Linked DNA regions of Notamacropus eugenii. The protein of the gene in region 1 purifies or fractionates together with the protein of each later gene. This does not show direct contact. Links are inferred from orthologs where the notes say so. Each region holds a gene or a part of one and is shown in the gene's direction. Other genes may lie near its edges.

Region 1 (7,589 bases):
CTATATATGCTGCCATTGCACTTGGTCCACTCTTTTTCACAAAATTCTGCCTTAGCAGAACTTCACTTTGTGCCTGGAAGGTCAATTGTTATTGGCTGCCTTGTGGCCAGTCCTACCACCCACCACCCAAAGCCATTCAGTCTCAATTTCTGCCTACTAGCATAACTTTTTACTTTTACTCATTGCTGGTTGCCCTCTAAATTCCATCGACCAAGCTTCAACATGGTTGAATGTGCAAATAAATATTTCCTAAGCTTTCCCAGCTGCTCCTTTGAACTCTTGGGGTCCTTCCATTCTATTGATTCTTAGAGTTGGAAAAGACTTTAGAGGTCAAGGACTCCAACCCCCTCCTCAAGAGGTCATCATTCAACCTCAGTTTGAATACTTTCAGAGGACAGAGAACCAGCGCCAGGCGAGATTGACTGTCAGCTTATGGTTTGATAAAATATTTCTGACGATCTCATTTTGTCCTTAATGAGTCCAAAAATGAACTCATCATTGACCGTTCCCTCCCCTTCCAAACTTTCTCCTTATATTATACTGTTTTGTATTCCTCCTCCCCATTAGAGTATAAAGCAACTTAAGGTCAAGAATTGTTCTCGTTTGCCTTTATATTTCCTGTGCCTAGCACAGTGCCTGGAATATATTAATAAGTGAATGCATGAAATGAAATGAAATGAAATTAATTAAATAAAATAAATTAAATGAAATTCTTAACTTCTCTGCTCCTGTCAGCAGTACCACCTTTCTTTTTTTTTCACTAGTCACTAAGACTTGAAAGATGTGTCATTCTTGTCTTCCTCTCTCTCTACTTTTCATCCATGCAGTTACCAAGTCCTATCTGGTCTTTCTACATGTTGCATCCTTCCCAATCTGTGCCCTCTTTTTCATTGACACCACCCTAGACCATGCCTTCTTTCTTCCTTTTTCAGACTCCTGGTTTTCTTTGCCTCTAGGTTTTCTCCACTGTAGTTCATACTGTACACCATTCATAAATTATTCATAAGATTTAGAGCTGGAAGGGGCCTTAGAGGATATACAGCCAATACCCCCATTTTAAAGTTAAGGAAGTGAGGGTCCAGAGAGTTTAAAGTGATAATCCCAAGATTACACAGGTAGCAAGTAGTAGAGGCAATATTTGAACTCAATTCTTCTGATTCCAAATTTATACCACATTAGGTATAACAGATTTGGACTCAGAGGATCCAGTTTCAAATCTCACTTCTGCCACTTATACTTGAGTGACCTTGGATAAGTCACTTACCTTCTGAGTCTCCAGGTTCTGATCTGTAAAATATACTGGCTGAATTGGGTGGCTTCTAAGGTCCCTTCCAGCTCTAGACTCAGGATCATATGATTGATAATCCTGTATCCTTCCTCATCTTTCTTCCAGCGGCAACTCTGAGATCGTCTAATATGATCTTTAAAAATGGAAGGGTTCTTATAAAAATTGAGTGTAAACCACTGCCCAACACAGATATTGTTTTTATAACACCCCCAAGAAGTGGTCATGCAGACTTTATTTTGTATTATATTTATGTGTACACATGTTTAGGATCCAAGCTCAAGATTCCTCCTTGACCTTCATTAGCATATTCTTATGACCTGTGCGACTCTGGGTTGGTCATCAAACCTCAGTGACTCTCAGTTTCCTCATCTATAAAATGAGGGCAATAATGCTCACACTATCCTCCCTACTTCCCAGGACTGTCGTGACAAAAGCACTCTACTCAGAAATCTTCAGGAGTTCCCCATTGTCTATGGAATTAAATCTAACCCCCAGTATTTGGCTTGTAAGACCACCCACAATCTATCTTTCCAGCCTTTTCAATACTCCTTTTCATGGCCCCTACTCAAGAGCCAAAGTGGCTACTACATCAGTCCCATCAATTAACTAATTCACTCAACAAGCATTTATCAAGTGCCTGACATTATATACTTGGCTCTGTGCCAGATGCTATGGATACAAAGACAGTCTCTACCCTCAAGAAAATTGTTTCTCAGTTTTCTCATCTGAAAATGAACAGCTTGGACTACATGACCTGTAAGGTTCTCTGTATCACTAAACTGATTCTGTGATCAATATGTATATATTGATATAGCAAAATATGTACAAAGTATATAGAAAGTAATTTGGGAATGGGGAGAACACCAGTAACTAGGGCAACAGGCCTCTTGGAGGAGAAGGAACCTGAGGGGAGTTGTGAAGGAAGCTTGGAAATCTCAGAAAGGAAGGTTAAGGAGAAAATCCATTCTAGGTATGGGGGTCAACCAAGGAAAAACACATAGACTGATAGTCATTTTTACTGGACCATGGAGTATGTGAAGGGCAGTAAGGGGCAATAAACTTGGAAAATTAAGCTGGAACCAGGTTGTGAAGACTTTTAAATAAATGTCAAAGGTGCTTGCATTTTATCCTAAATGGAACAGGGAACCACTGGAGTTTCTTGATCAGAGAGTGAAAAGGTCACATTTGTGTTTTAGAAATATGTTTGACAGCTAGGTGGAGGATGGATTGGAAACAAGAGAGTCTGGGGCTCTGGGAGTAATTTGCAAGGAAAGCAATAGACCAGGTGAGAGGTGAATAAGGTGAACTAGGTGGTGAACTAGGGGGGTGTCCATATCTGTTCCTTTGTTTGTGCCCAACATCTTGGGCAGAATCCTTTTTAAACCTTATCTTCAGCTCAAATATGATTTTCCTCCATAAATCCTTACCAAAATGTCCTTTGGTGGAAAAGTGAATAAACTGCCTGGCCTGGAGTGAGAAAGAGTCATTTTTCTGAGTTTAAATTTGGCCTCAGACATTTACTAGCTTTGTGATCCTGGGCAAGTCCCTTAACTCTGTTTGCCTCTTTGCTCATCTGTAAAAGGAGCTGGAGAAGGAAATGGCAAACCACCCCAGTATCTGTGCCAAGAAAACCTCAAGTGGGGTCACAAAGAGTTGAACAGAACTGAACAAAATAAGTAATCAATAATCAATAAACATTTATTAAGCCCATACTTCATTCTGGGCTTTGAGCACTGAAGATACCAAAAGACAGTCCCTGCCCTAAAGGAGCTCACAATTTAATATAATTCTTTTACTTTCCTCATAAAGCCCTCAGTACATGCCTCTTTTATTAATTGATCACAATTCACTATTATATTTATTGATATAAATGTTGTTTTATCTCCCCTGCTTAATTATAAACTCCTTTATTTGGCTGAGATGTAGTAGAATCTGTATAGAAGTAGGAGAATCAAGAGATTTAGTTTCTGTTCCCTAGACTATCTTATTCCAGCTTTGAACACTTAGTGCTGCTGCTTACAAAGCCAATTCTCAATGGTTTGTATATTAAACTGAAAACTTTTTCGCATTTTCAGCCTGTATCATTGTCTTAGAAAGATCAGCTCCCCAAATTTACAATCCATTTTGTAAAGCAGGACTTCCTTTTAGTGACTAACCCGATCTCTTTCAAGCTTTTAATCTTTAGATGTGGGCATCTGAACAACTTCATGTGATTTTATGGACTTTAATCTTGTGCTCCCTCAGTTCCTATCTTCCTACTCCGGAGAAACCTAATTCTTTCCTAATTCTAATGTGAAAGTTTTTGTGGCAGTTACTGAGAGGCAAAGTGGGAAGTTCCTGGAGAGCAAAGATCTTCCTGGTTTCTTACTTGAGTCCCTTCCAGGCTTGTACTCTCTCTTGCATGTGACAGCTGCTTAATAAATACTTGTTGTTTGATTGACAGGCTGTGGTAGGAAAAAGCACTGATCTTTTCCAGGGTCCGAAGATAACGGCCTTGAGTGCTATTCACTAACTTCGCTGCCATTTGCTGTTTGACTTTGTTTGGGTAAACAACTTAATATCGCTGAGCTTCAATTTCCCCAAATGTAGCTAGGACTAATCCATTCTCCTACTCCCCTCACAGGATTGTTACGAGGAAAGCAGGTAGCCACCGCTAAAACATTTTTATACATGTGAACTGTATTGAATGGATATCAGGGAGCTGATGAGGAAGGAAAGTTCCTGACAGTCATTCGAGAAGAAGGTACTTCCCTTAACCCAATATGTACTAAGCCCCCACTGGCCTGGGTCCAGGAGGCTGAGGACTTCTCCGTCCTCAGCTGGGCATCTTTGACTTTCCAGGGTGGGCTCCCGAGCTTAGTATGTCCAGGCAGTCTGCTAGGGACGGAGCCACTCCTTTCAAGCCTAAGCCACCCCTTCCATCTGCAGGGCAGCTCTCGTAGGTCAGATCGAGGGGGGGTTGGCAGGACTGTCCTAAAGGAGTAGGACAGAGTAAGCGGTTTGGAGCAGAGTCCCCCCAGAAAGATTACCGGGTGGGTACGGGGGCGTCCGAGGGCTCTGGAATCCTCCCTAGGCTCGTGGGGGTGGCGATGGAGTCCGGTACAGAGAAGACACGTGGGCCGCTGGGGCTTGGGCAAGGGGAGACTTCGGGGTGGGAGGGGGAGTGAAGGAGTACTAGTCGAGAGGGAGTGGAGGCGGAACCTCATTTGCATGGGCCGCGCGCGGGCGGCCAATCGGAAGAGGCGGGGCGGTGGCCCGCGCGCCTTTCGGAAGGAGACCGACAGTTTAGGGGACCTATCGGAGGCCGGTCCTGCGGCCGGCGGGGGCGGGGAAGCGCTCCGTGCCGCCCAGTGTGTGTGAGTGTGTGTATGTGTGTGTGTGTGAGTGTGGAGCGGGGAGAGTGGGTGGAGGAGTGGGAGGGCTGGGGGACTCCGGCCGGCTCTTGGGCTCTGCCAGTCAACGGCGGCGGCGCACCGGCGCGCGGGCTAGCGGTTGGGTACGGGGGCGAGCGGGCTAGCCAGAAAGAACGAGCGCAGCGGCAGGTAGCGCGGCGGGGGCCGAGACCGTGGGGATGGGGCCTGAGGGAGGAGGAGGAGGCGGCAGCCCGGCGGAGGCTTGGGATCGGGATCAGGTCCGGGCACCCCCCCCTTATTCCCTTCCCCCTCCCACCCCATCCCGCCTTTCCCCTGGTAACCCCTGGGGAGAGAAGCGAGTTGTGTAGTGTGGGGTAGGGACGGTGAGGTGAGGTGAGCTGGGCGCGCCGCCTGTGAGCTCTTCCTACCTCGTGTGAGTGTGTGTATGGAGAAGTGTGTATATATATGTGTATATATGTATATACATATGTATGTATGTGTACGCGCGCGTGTCCTCCCTGCGCCTCGTGCCTCGGTGACCCTGGAGGGCTGGAGGAGCCAGGGACCCATCCCTCCCGGGAGACCCCTGACTGCCCAGCAGCTTGGGAAGCTTTCGGAGCGTGTCCTCCGCAGACCCCCATCCCTGCACCTCCTTGTCCGTAAAATTTGCTCCCCGGCTTATCTTCCCAAAGGTGGTTATTTTGGGGGGGGGGGGGAGAGAATTTAACACACCAGGAGGGGATTCTTTTATCCTTTTCTTCTCACTGCTTCTTCCCCCTCCCCCTGCACCCCTATTTTTTTCCCCCAAGAGAAGCAAATGACAGGTTGCTCTGGCCTTTTATTTTTTCTGCCCTTTAGTTTTTTCTCTCCTTCGGTTCCTGACGGATCACGATTCCAAGCGTGTCTTTCTTCTCTTCCACCCGTTGCAGGAATTTGCCTCATCTGGATGACCAATGTCCAGTGCTGTTGTCTGTTCAGTCAGAGGCTGGGGGAAGGATCTTATCAGATCGGAACTCCAAGAGGTAACCGTGTGTGAAGTTCGAGTGTAAGAGTTTTTCTATTTTCCCGTAGCAGGAAAAGAAAAGCCCCACTTTTCCTGTTTAATTGCCCTCGAGAGACAAAGTTGGGAACTGTAGCCTGGAAAGGAGAAGTATGTTGGTACTAGTTTACGACTACGACTTTGGATGTCCTCACCTTCGTTGATTTTTTGGGCTGTGTCAGTGTTCAAAACTAATTTTCTTGAAGTTAGCCAGAGCTTTGGGCTATTACTTGTTAGTCCTGCATCTGCTCCTTGTCTGTCTTTTGTCTCCCGAGCCTTCCCAAGGATCTCTTTTGGTTTAGAATTTCCATAGAATGTGAGGTATACAGTGTAGCCTTCTTAATTATTATTTCACCTGTCTTGGAGTAAAATCTACCACCACCATGTTATAGTTAGGTGGAAAAAACAGTGCTGTTTACCTGCTAAAATGATGTTGAAAAATACTGCACTCATGATTTTTAATGGTATGTGAGAGAAGTTTTCACTTTGTAATAGAGGAAATGTCATGACTACTCTGATTCTACTGTATTAAAGTAGTAGTTTAAAGATAGTTTTAATCCTCAAACATACCACTTAAAGATGTTCTGATGTTAGAGAATTTGAAATATAACTGTACAAATAACCTAATTGTAATTTAATTTAATGACAATTTAGTCTTTTAGTACCCTGGGTGAAGTGTAGTATGATACAATTTTTGGAAAACCATCCACAGGACTAAAAGTCAAGGTATTCTTAAGTGTAGGTCAAGATTCTGGTTCTGCCCTGTGCAAGTAGATCTGATCAGGGAACATTTTAGCATAGAGATGAGAAAACATTTAGTTGGGAGGTCTCCTTAAGACTGTAAAATAGCCTTTCTTAAGAGAATGGTAGTAACTAAATCATGTTATTACTTGAAGATTTACTTAAGGAGGAAATACTGTGGGAAATTACTTTGTGTTTGTGACAAGTTTTTGTGTATACTTTGTGATTGTAGCATAATAGAAGGTATTTAGCTTCTAGGTGAATTGTTTCATGTTTTTCAGCTGAACTTTGGATTTCTTTCTCAGTTTTGAGTTTTCATATTGTTCAGATTATTAGCGTTGAAGTACCCCCCCCCCCCCAATCTGAATAGCCTTCTTTGCTTCTTTGAGGAAAGACCTACAAGAAGAATTATTCTTTTGGTTGGCTTTCAAAAAGTAGTTCTTGAAATAATATATTATTTAGACTTTTTAAAAAACCTTTTGATTTGGATTATTACAAAGAAACCAGTGTAGTTGTTCAAGAGTGGTAAGGCACAGAAGGGAGTGGAGCACAAAGTATCTAGGAAGTGATAGTATATCAATGAGAAACAAGTTACTGTTTCCAATCTGCAGTCTGTTATTTTTTCATGTTCAACAGTATAGTATATCATATGTATGCATGTATGTATGAAAAATTAAATTTATACATGGAAATAGTAAGAGGTTAAAAAATCTTTGATATGTAGTAGGGTGGATTTTGTTTAAATTACTTATCAAGAAGAACTGGATGTATTCATATTTCTTTAAAAATGCCTTGTTTGATATAGTATATGTTCTTTATAGCTCAGCTGTAAGTTTCAGTTCTAGAAAGCATGCTTTTGAAAGTAGTTTTTAATTTTAATCTTTTTTAGTTTAAATTATAAGATATCATACATTTGAATGAGGATTTAATTTTTCCCCCTGAACTTAAAGTGGCCATTTAATAAAGTAATGAGATAGTTTTAATAGAGTATTTGAAGGATCCTTGTGGACAATTATTACAAATAAATATTCTTTTCCAAGTTTCTCTTATTTAAACACTAAGCTTCTCTGTTCTGATTCTGTTCTTTTACCTAGAAAAATCAGTCATTAAAAAAAGTCTGAGAATATCTTTATTTGAATTTTTTCCTCTATCTTAGTTATACATTAGG
Region 2 (7,180 bases), on another chromosome or scaffold:
ACACACACACACACACACACACAGAGTCTTCTCGGACCTAAATTCCCTGGAAGCAGGGACTGGTTCTCTCTTGCCCTTATATCCCCTATATGTCTGACATCCTATAGACTCTTAATAACTGCTTGGAGGACTGAAGCACTCCTGGGAGTGGAAAGTTGTGGGCATGGACTTGGAGAGATTTTGGGGGCTACACGGAGTACTTTCAATGGATTCCTTTGGGACCACAGAGGTTCCCATTGAAATAATATTATTTTACTTATATGAAATGGGTCAATAGATAGCAAGACCTTGGACTGACAAAGGTTGGGAAACAGTGACTTACAGGAACAGAGGTACTTGAAACCAAGAAGGGCATGGTGAAAGCCAGGGAAAGAGAAGGAAAGGCTTCTCTTTACTCTTGCCCTCTTCTGCCAACTCATTCCACTCTCTGCACACTCCATAAGCTACTAATGGCCCTCAGGAAGCACCACTTTGTCATTTCAGAGTGCAAAATCCCCAATGCCCTGGCCCGGCTGGAGGGACCCAGCATTGGTGAGGAAGGATTAGGGTTGGAAAGGGCTGAGTTTGAATTCCACCTCAGGCCTTTACCTTGGGGATCAGAGCTCTCAATCAGAAATGCCAGCATGGTTAGGAGGCCCATAGAAGCACTGAGAAAGGTAGAAAAGTGTTTGGCAAACCTTGTAGCACTCTGGAAATGCCAACGAGCATTACCAAACTTGAAGAACAAATGATCCTAGAGCAGGTCTGGGGTGATAAGTGCAAGTTTAAGCCCAAACCCTGAATTCTAAATGAAACTTGGTGAAGAGGACACTGGGGAACAGGGGCTTCTAACCCCTGGTACAGGGGTGGGGCTTTCCTTCCAAGTCTCCAATCAGTTAATTTAGAAGAGTATTCCTTTCAGCACCCCAGAAACAAACCAACAACCAACCCAAACCATGATGACATTCCTTTGAAGGACTTCAAACACCCCTGGGGTCACAGGGCTCAGTCAGAGGGAAATAGTGGGGTATTTAGTAACCCTTAAGGGGCCCCAAAAAAGCCCCTTATCAGTCTATTCAAACCAGGCCTGGAGAAGACTGAGCCAGGTTAGATGAAGAAATTACAAAGATAAGCAAGATAACCACTCAGTTGATAAGCAAGAATGACCCACGACCTTTCCGACACCATTTGCCCTCAAGAAAGTCTCACCAGCCTTAGGGAGTAGCCTTCCCTCCTTCCCCTATTACCAGCCTCTCCACAAGTTGTCCTCTACACCCTGATTTTGAGGGGAAAAACAAAAAGCTCTAGCCTGGGAAGCTGGAAACCTGCCTAACACTAACTTGCTCTTGACATCAGGGGGTAAAAAAATCACGTTAGTAATTTGGGTTTTATTTTCCTCATCTATAAAATGAGGGTGATAATCACTGCCCTGACGCCAGGACAAGAAATCAGGAGAAACAAGATAGTATGAAAATAATCTTCAACAGAGGGCCCAAAGAACAGAACAGAAGGAACTGGGCCTTTGGAGATACTGGGAGACCGAGGACTTATGCTGAGCAGAAGCTGTGAGGTGAGTGCGCAGGTAGGAACAGAGAATCTGGAGCCAGAAGTGGGGTGAGTCCCAGCTCCTTCATACTACAAACGAGGAAAGTTGAGGCCCAGAGTGACTCACCGAGGCTCCCATGATGATGAATATGTGTGTGTCTGACTGGTGGAAGGCATCACCCTGGTACAATTCTTCCCGGAGAATTCCACACACTTGGGTCCGGCTCAGTGCCACCTGCTCTGCCATGTTGTTTTCTAGAGGAATGAAAGGATTGTGAGGGAGCTCTGGCAAAGAGAGAGTTGGAAGGTCATTGCCCCTCCCCCTAAGAGGGACAAGTGAACTCCCCAGGCAGCCCAGATTTCAAGTGGTATCTCCAAGAAGCAATTACCAGTTCAGAGTTTAGGAGAAGGGATAAAAAACGTTAGGTTTCTGATGCCTTGAGGGTATCTGAGGAGGCTTCCAGCAGTCACATTTTGTACCTGTTAAGCCCATTTTAAATATCCTACGTTTGGTCAGGATACTCAATGGCTAAGTCTGGGGATCAAAGTGGTGTTCCCCCCCCCCCCCTTCTTTCCAAAGTGGATGTCTGGAGGATGAGTTCAAGCTGGAGCCTCTCATCTGGGATTCTAGTTCAAGGTGTTCATAGCTTGAGGGGCAGGATCACAGGTGGGGGTTAATGTCGACTAGAAAATCAGGACCTAAGCAGGAACATTATTAATTCACTGATCTTCCTTCTGCTTTGAAGATAATGGGTCCCAGTCTCAGGCAGAATGCTAATTAGCTCCTTTATCCTCTTGCTTTGAAGATGATAGGGGTGGGGGTGGGGGTGGGGGTGGTAGGGAGTAGGGGGCGGGGTGGGGGAGGGGCCTAGTTCTGACTCAGTCACTGTCTGTGACCCTGGACAAGTTTATTTCTCTTGGAGTCCAAAGTTGCTTCCCTTTTAAGGGAGCTAGACTGACTGATCTGTACATTTCCATCCAGCTTGTATATTTTTTGCCATATGACCAGTATAACCAAGCACAAAATATTATTTCTTCTTGGCCTTTTCTGATGTCTCTCCTATTTCTAAAACTGGCCTGTCCCAGTCCTCACAGTCACTACTTTGGAAAATCCTCAGGATGCAACATTATCTGGCATCTGCATCAGCAAGGCACTGGACTGTGGAAGAAGACTGTTGCAGGTGCGTGGTTGTTTTGTTTTTAAAAAGAAGTCTCAAGGGAGAACCTAGAGCAAAAAGACAACCTTCTCCGCAAGGGGTTATGCCACTACCACCAGGGTCCAAATCCAGCTAACTGCAGTTCAGCCAGACCCCTGCCACAGGTTCGATTGTTGCTACCTGTTGGGGCTTGTTTCAACTTCCCTAGGACCTCAGTGGGATCTGATCTCCCTCAGCGGATGGTTCCGAAGGGTTAGAGGTTCTCCCTGATAGGTAGGTAGGAGAAGCAGAGTATTTCCAGTAGTCAGTTTGATCACATGCCTAAGCTAAAACCCCTTAGGGGATATAGAGGAAACTTTCCTTTAGATCTAGGCCCCCAGAGACAATCTACAAGGGGCAAGAAAGCCAGGCCAGGGCTGAGATGGGAAAGAGTACAGTATCTTATCTGAACAGGAAGGTCATCAATCAATGCAGAAACAGCCTTCTGACCAGGGTTCGGAGGAAGGAGATGAGGGAGGATGCTTGGGTAAAGAGGATCAAAGAGCCTGGAGACTAAGTCGAAGGAGGGAACTGCAGAGGCTTAAGAGAAAGGCTATTAGGATGGAGAGCTCAGGACAGAGGCCAGGATGCAGGGCGGGGCTGAGGATGGAGGAGGTTGGGGTTGGGCAGGCCGGGGGCCTCCTCACCAGTCTTCGCCTCCGGATCCTGGGTCACTTGCTGATCCGGCAGAGGAAGGGAGACGACCGGGCCCGCTGCTGCGCTCGGGTTAATGCCTCGTCTGCCCGAGTGCAGTTCGGCTACACTCGCCCGACTCCCCATCTCCTCCCCCTGGCCCAGCCCCGTTGGCCCCTGACTCCGCCCCGGCCCTCCCTGCTCCCCCGGCTTTGGCTCCGATCCAGACCTGGGATTCCGCACCTCGCGCTTCAGGCGCAGGAGAGCCCGCCTCCTCAGCGACATCTCTCTCTCCCACCCCCACGTGGCCTCGCCCGGCTCGCCGCTTCCGCCTGCGACGTGGCCACGCCCCCCGAGCCGGCCATGGGCCCGCCCTTCTCAGATCACGCTCCCTGTTCTTCTCGCCAAGCCGAGGTCTCCCATCTCTAGCCGGAAGCCCCGCCCCTTTGCTTATTTTCCCCCCCCCCCCCCCCCCCTCAAGAACTCCGCCCCTCGTTCCTCTCACTCCTCCTAGTTTTCTGATACCGGCCTGGAGTGGGGAGGGGAACTGATAAAGTGCATAGTCAGGGGCACTTAAGGTGACAGAAGAGATCGTTCCGAAACTAGGAGGAGGAAGCAGATGCTCTAGAAGATAGCTTAGTGCCTAGGATTTCTTTCTAGACCTAAGTGGGCCCTGGCACGGGAAACACAGGGTAAATTTCCCCCCACCCCCGCCAAAGGCGTTATTGGTTCAGTCCTCGCTCCCTGGAGGTCGGAGACAGCCAGAGGAAGGGGCGGAGACAGTCTGAGGGACTCCGAAGCTTTCACTTTTGCACTTCCGGGTTGCCGCAGCCCTCCGGCACAATCCGGAAGTGGGTGTTGGGTGGGGAGGAGTCGCTGAGGAGTCCGGGCTTCGGAGCCGTCGGCTGGGACCCGAGCTGGCGGATTCTTGGGGGGGGCCTCCGTCGCTACCTTCGGTGTAGTTTTCGCGGCTGCGTCCGTGGCGTGTGGACTCAGGCTCGGCCCGGCCGGGCCTGGCGGCTCCCCGGGCCCCGGTGGGGCCGAAGCTGAAGCCTGAAGGCCCGAGTCTCCGGCCTCCGGGGTGAGTCGGACGCCCAGGCCCCGCCCCTTGGGCCCCGCCCCCGCCCATGGCGGCCCCGCCCCTTAGCCCCTTCCCGCCGCCTGTCCCTTCACTCTGCTCTGCCATGTTCAGCCTCTCCTGCCTCATCTGGGCCACCGCTGCCGTCCGAGGTTTTGGGGTTGGCCTCAGGGTAACTGACTCCCCATTGGCCCAATTTCTCTCCCCTTCCCCCCGTCGCCGCCGCCCCCGCCCAGTCATTCTTCGTAATTCTGGGAGAGGGGAGAATGTGAAGGAAAAGAGCAGGTTTTTTTTTGCCACCATCTTTCTAGACTTCTGATGGGATTCCCACTTAACGGTGTGAGTCCGGGCAAGTTCCTGAACCTCTGATGTTTCATCTGTAAAATGGGTATGACAATAATGGACGCTACCTCCTAAGTTTGTTTTGGGGATCAGATGCCACAACTTGTGGAAAACTATGTAATTGTGAGCTCATTAATGGTGATAATAACGGGATAAGGCTGTGGCACTAAGGGGGCACCCTTCTCTGGAGTCATCGAAGTGGCACTGCCATGCCATTGGACTTGGAGGGTCTGGAAAACCCGAGTTCAAGTATCGCCTTAGACACTGGCTAGTGTGTGACTCAGGCAAGTCACTTAACCTCCGTTTGCCGTAGTTTCTTCATCTGTCAAATGAGAATAATAGCACTTATCTCCTGGAGTTGTTGTGAAGATCAAACGGGATAATAATTGTAAAGGTGACTGACACATAGTAAGCACTATGTCAATTTTAGTTAGCTGCTAACTTTCCACTTCATCTTTTCAGACCAATGCAGGGTTAGAGCTGGAAAGGACCTTGCCCACTAGATCATAAGGTCCTTGAAGGCAGAAGACTGTCTTTTGCCTCTTTGTATCCTCAGGTTAGCATGGTTCCTGGCTCATTGGTATTCATTTATGTTCTGTTCTTTTTGGCCAGGATACCGGAATGGTTTGCCATTTCCTTCTCCAGTGGATTAAGACAAAAGTGACTTGCCTCTGTTTCCTCTTCTGTAAAATGAGCTGGAAAAGGAAATAGCAACCACTCCAGTATCTTTGCCAAGAAAACCCCAAGTAGGATCATGGAGAGTGGGACATGACTGAAAAACTACTGAACAACAACAGCTTCTTGGCTCCAGACCTAGCGCTCTATGCACTGAGCCACCTAGCTACTTCCACATACTCTGTATAGCTTGGCCCATAGTAGGTGATTAATAAATGTTTATTGATTAATTGATTGAAAATGATATAATTTGTAGTATAATTTAGGGATGCTTTGGACTCAATCTGCCTAAGTTTGCTCACAGAATTTCACAGTTGGAAGGAGCCTCAGGAGCCACCTAGTTCTGCCCCTGTCCAGTAGAAATCCTGTCTAATATAGCTGGTCATCCAACCTCAGCTTGAAGATCTCCAGTAAGGGGAAACCCACCATTTGGGACACTTAACACAGGACCAAGCACATAGGCATTTCATAAAGAAATACTTGTTAACTTCCTGGGGTAGCTCCAGCCATTAGGAAATTTTTCCTGACACTGAGCTTGCTTCTGCACTCTGGGACCAAATAGCCCCCATAGAATTTCTCTTCCTGAGCTCAGCTATCTTCCTTGCCCCTCAGGCTTTTTTCCTTGGGCTAAGCATTCCTAGTTCTTTCAGCCTGTGATGATATGATATGATGGGGAAACTCTAGGCCTTTTGCCATCCTGGTTGCTTTCCTTCTTAACAATGCTGTCCTTAAATAGGTACGCCAAATGCAATACTCCTTGTAGTGATTTGTACTTTTCATGCACATGCTGTCTTGTATCTAAGTCATTGGTAATAATAATCGCAGCTAACATTTTTAAAGTTTGCAAAGCACTTTAATACATATTATCTGATTTGATCCACACTACGATCCTTGGAGGCAGGTGCTGTTATTTCTATTTTACTATTGAGAAAACTGAGAGGTTGGAAAAGTGACATGCCTGGGATCACCCAGCTAAGGAATCCTCATAGAATTCCAACTCAGGTCTTTCTTTGCTCCAGATCCAGGTCTTTATGCCCTGCGCCACCTAGAGGCCTAAAATTCTGTTTAACAGCATAGACCAAACATGGTTCTGGCCCACTCTACTGCTGATAGCCTGCCAAGTTGGCATCAGATTCACTGAACTGAGTCTAGCTGTTGAACCAGTTCTAAATCTTTCTTCTTGTATTGTCATTTAATTCATGTAGCTCTGTCTTTTCCACAAGAATAGCAGGAGATACGTCTTAAAACTCTTTATTAAAACCTAGGTAAACTATGTAGTATCCTCCCAATCAGTCTCATAACTGTCAAAAAAAAGCCTTGATGCTGACTTTTGGTAGCCCCCCTTCCCCATGCAACATGTAGATGTTCACTAAGCCTCTCTTTAGCGATGTGGGAGAATTTCCCTGAGGATGGGAGTCAAGTTCACTGGTATGTGTTTTTGCATGTTTTGTTCTCTTACCTTTTTGGAAAATTGAGGCATTTGCCTTATTTCAACTATACAGTGCTTCTCCTCTTTTCTCTGCTCTTTTGTTTGTCCACATCTGCCTGTTTTTATGATTGATGTGGACCAGGTGATGACTTCATTGGGGGTAACTAGGTACGCTCCCTTTGACTTCCTAGTAACTCATTTTGTCACCATTATTTTCCGAGAGAACAGGAGCAAAGAATCTGGCAGCTCTGCCTTCTCCTCTTCTTTGCAGAGGCAGGGTAGGGCAGCAGCAGCGGCTCAGAG

What was found. The genes of interacting proteins can lie anywhere in the genome.
Region 2: the proteins of FKBP5 (region 1) and IKBKG purify together in Homo sapiens (affinity purification with mass spectrometry; 3 studies listed by BioGRID and IntAct, with this or other methods). This does not show direct contact. The link is inferred for Notamacropus eugenii from reciprocal best matches to the Homo sapiens genes FKBP5 and IKBKG.

What each region holds. Positions count from the first base shown.
Region 1 is NC_092873.1:92,735,082-92,742,670, reverse strand, and holds the start of FKBP5 (peptidyl-prolyl cis-trans isomerase FKBP5), read left to right. Parts: upstream 1-4,572; 5' UTR 4,573-4,830; exon of another isoform or gene 4,831-4,919; intron 4,920-5,007; exon of another isoform or gene 5,008-5,074; intron 5,075-5,499; exon of another isoform or gene 5,500-5,570; 5' UTR 5,571-5,663; exon of another isoform or gene 5,664-5,686; intron 5,687-7,589. UniProt on the Homo sapiens protein: Immunophilin protein with PPIase and co-chaperone activities. Component of unligated steroid receptors heterocomplexes through interaction with heat-shock protein 90 (HSP90).
Region 2 is NC_092879.1:10,233,360-10,240,539, forward strand, and holds the start of IKBKG (NF-kappa-B essential modulator), read left to right. Parts: upstream 1-4,172; 5' UTR 4,173-4,434; intron 4,435-7,180. Other genes in the region: G6PD (glucose-6-phosphate 1-dehydrogenase), read right to left, coding at 1,652-1,779, 3,368-3,638. UniProt on the Homo sapiens protein: Regulatory subunit of the IKK core complex which phosphorylates inhibitors of NF-kappa-B thus leading to the dissociation of the inhibitor/NF-kappa-B complex and ultimately the degradation of the inhibitor.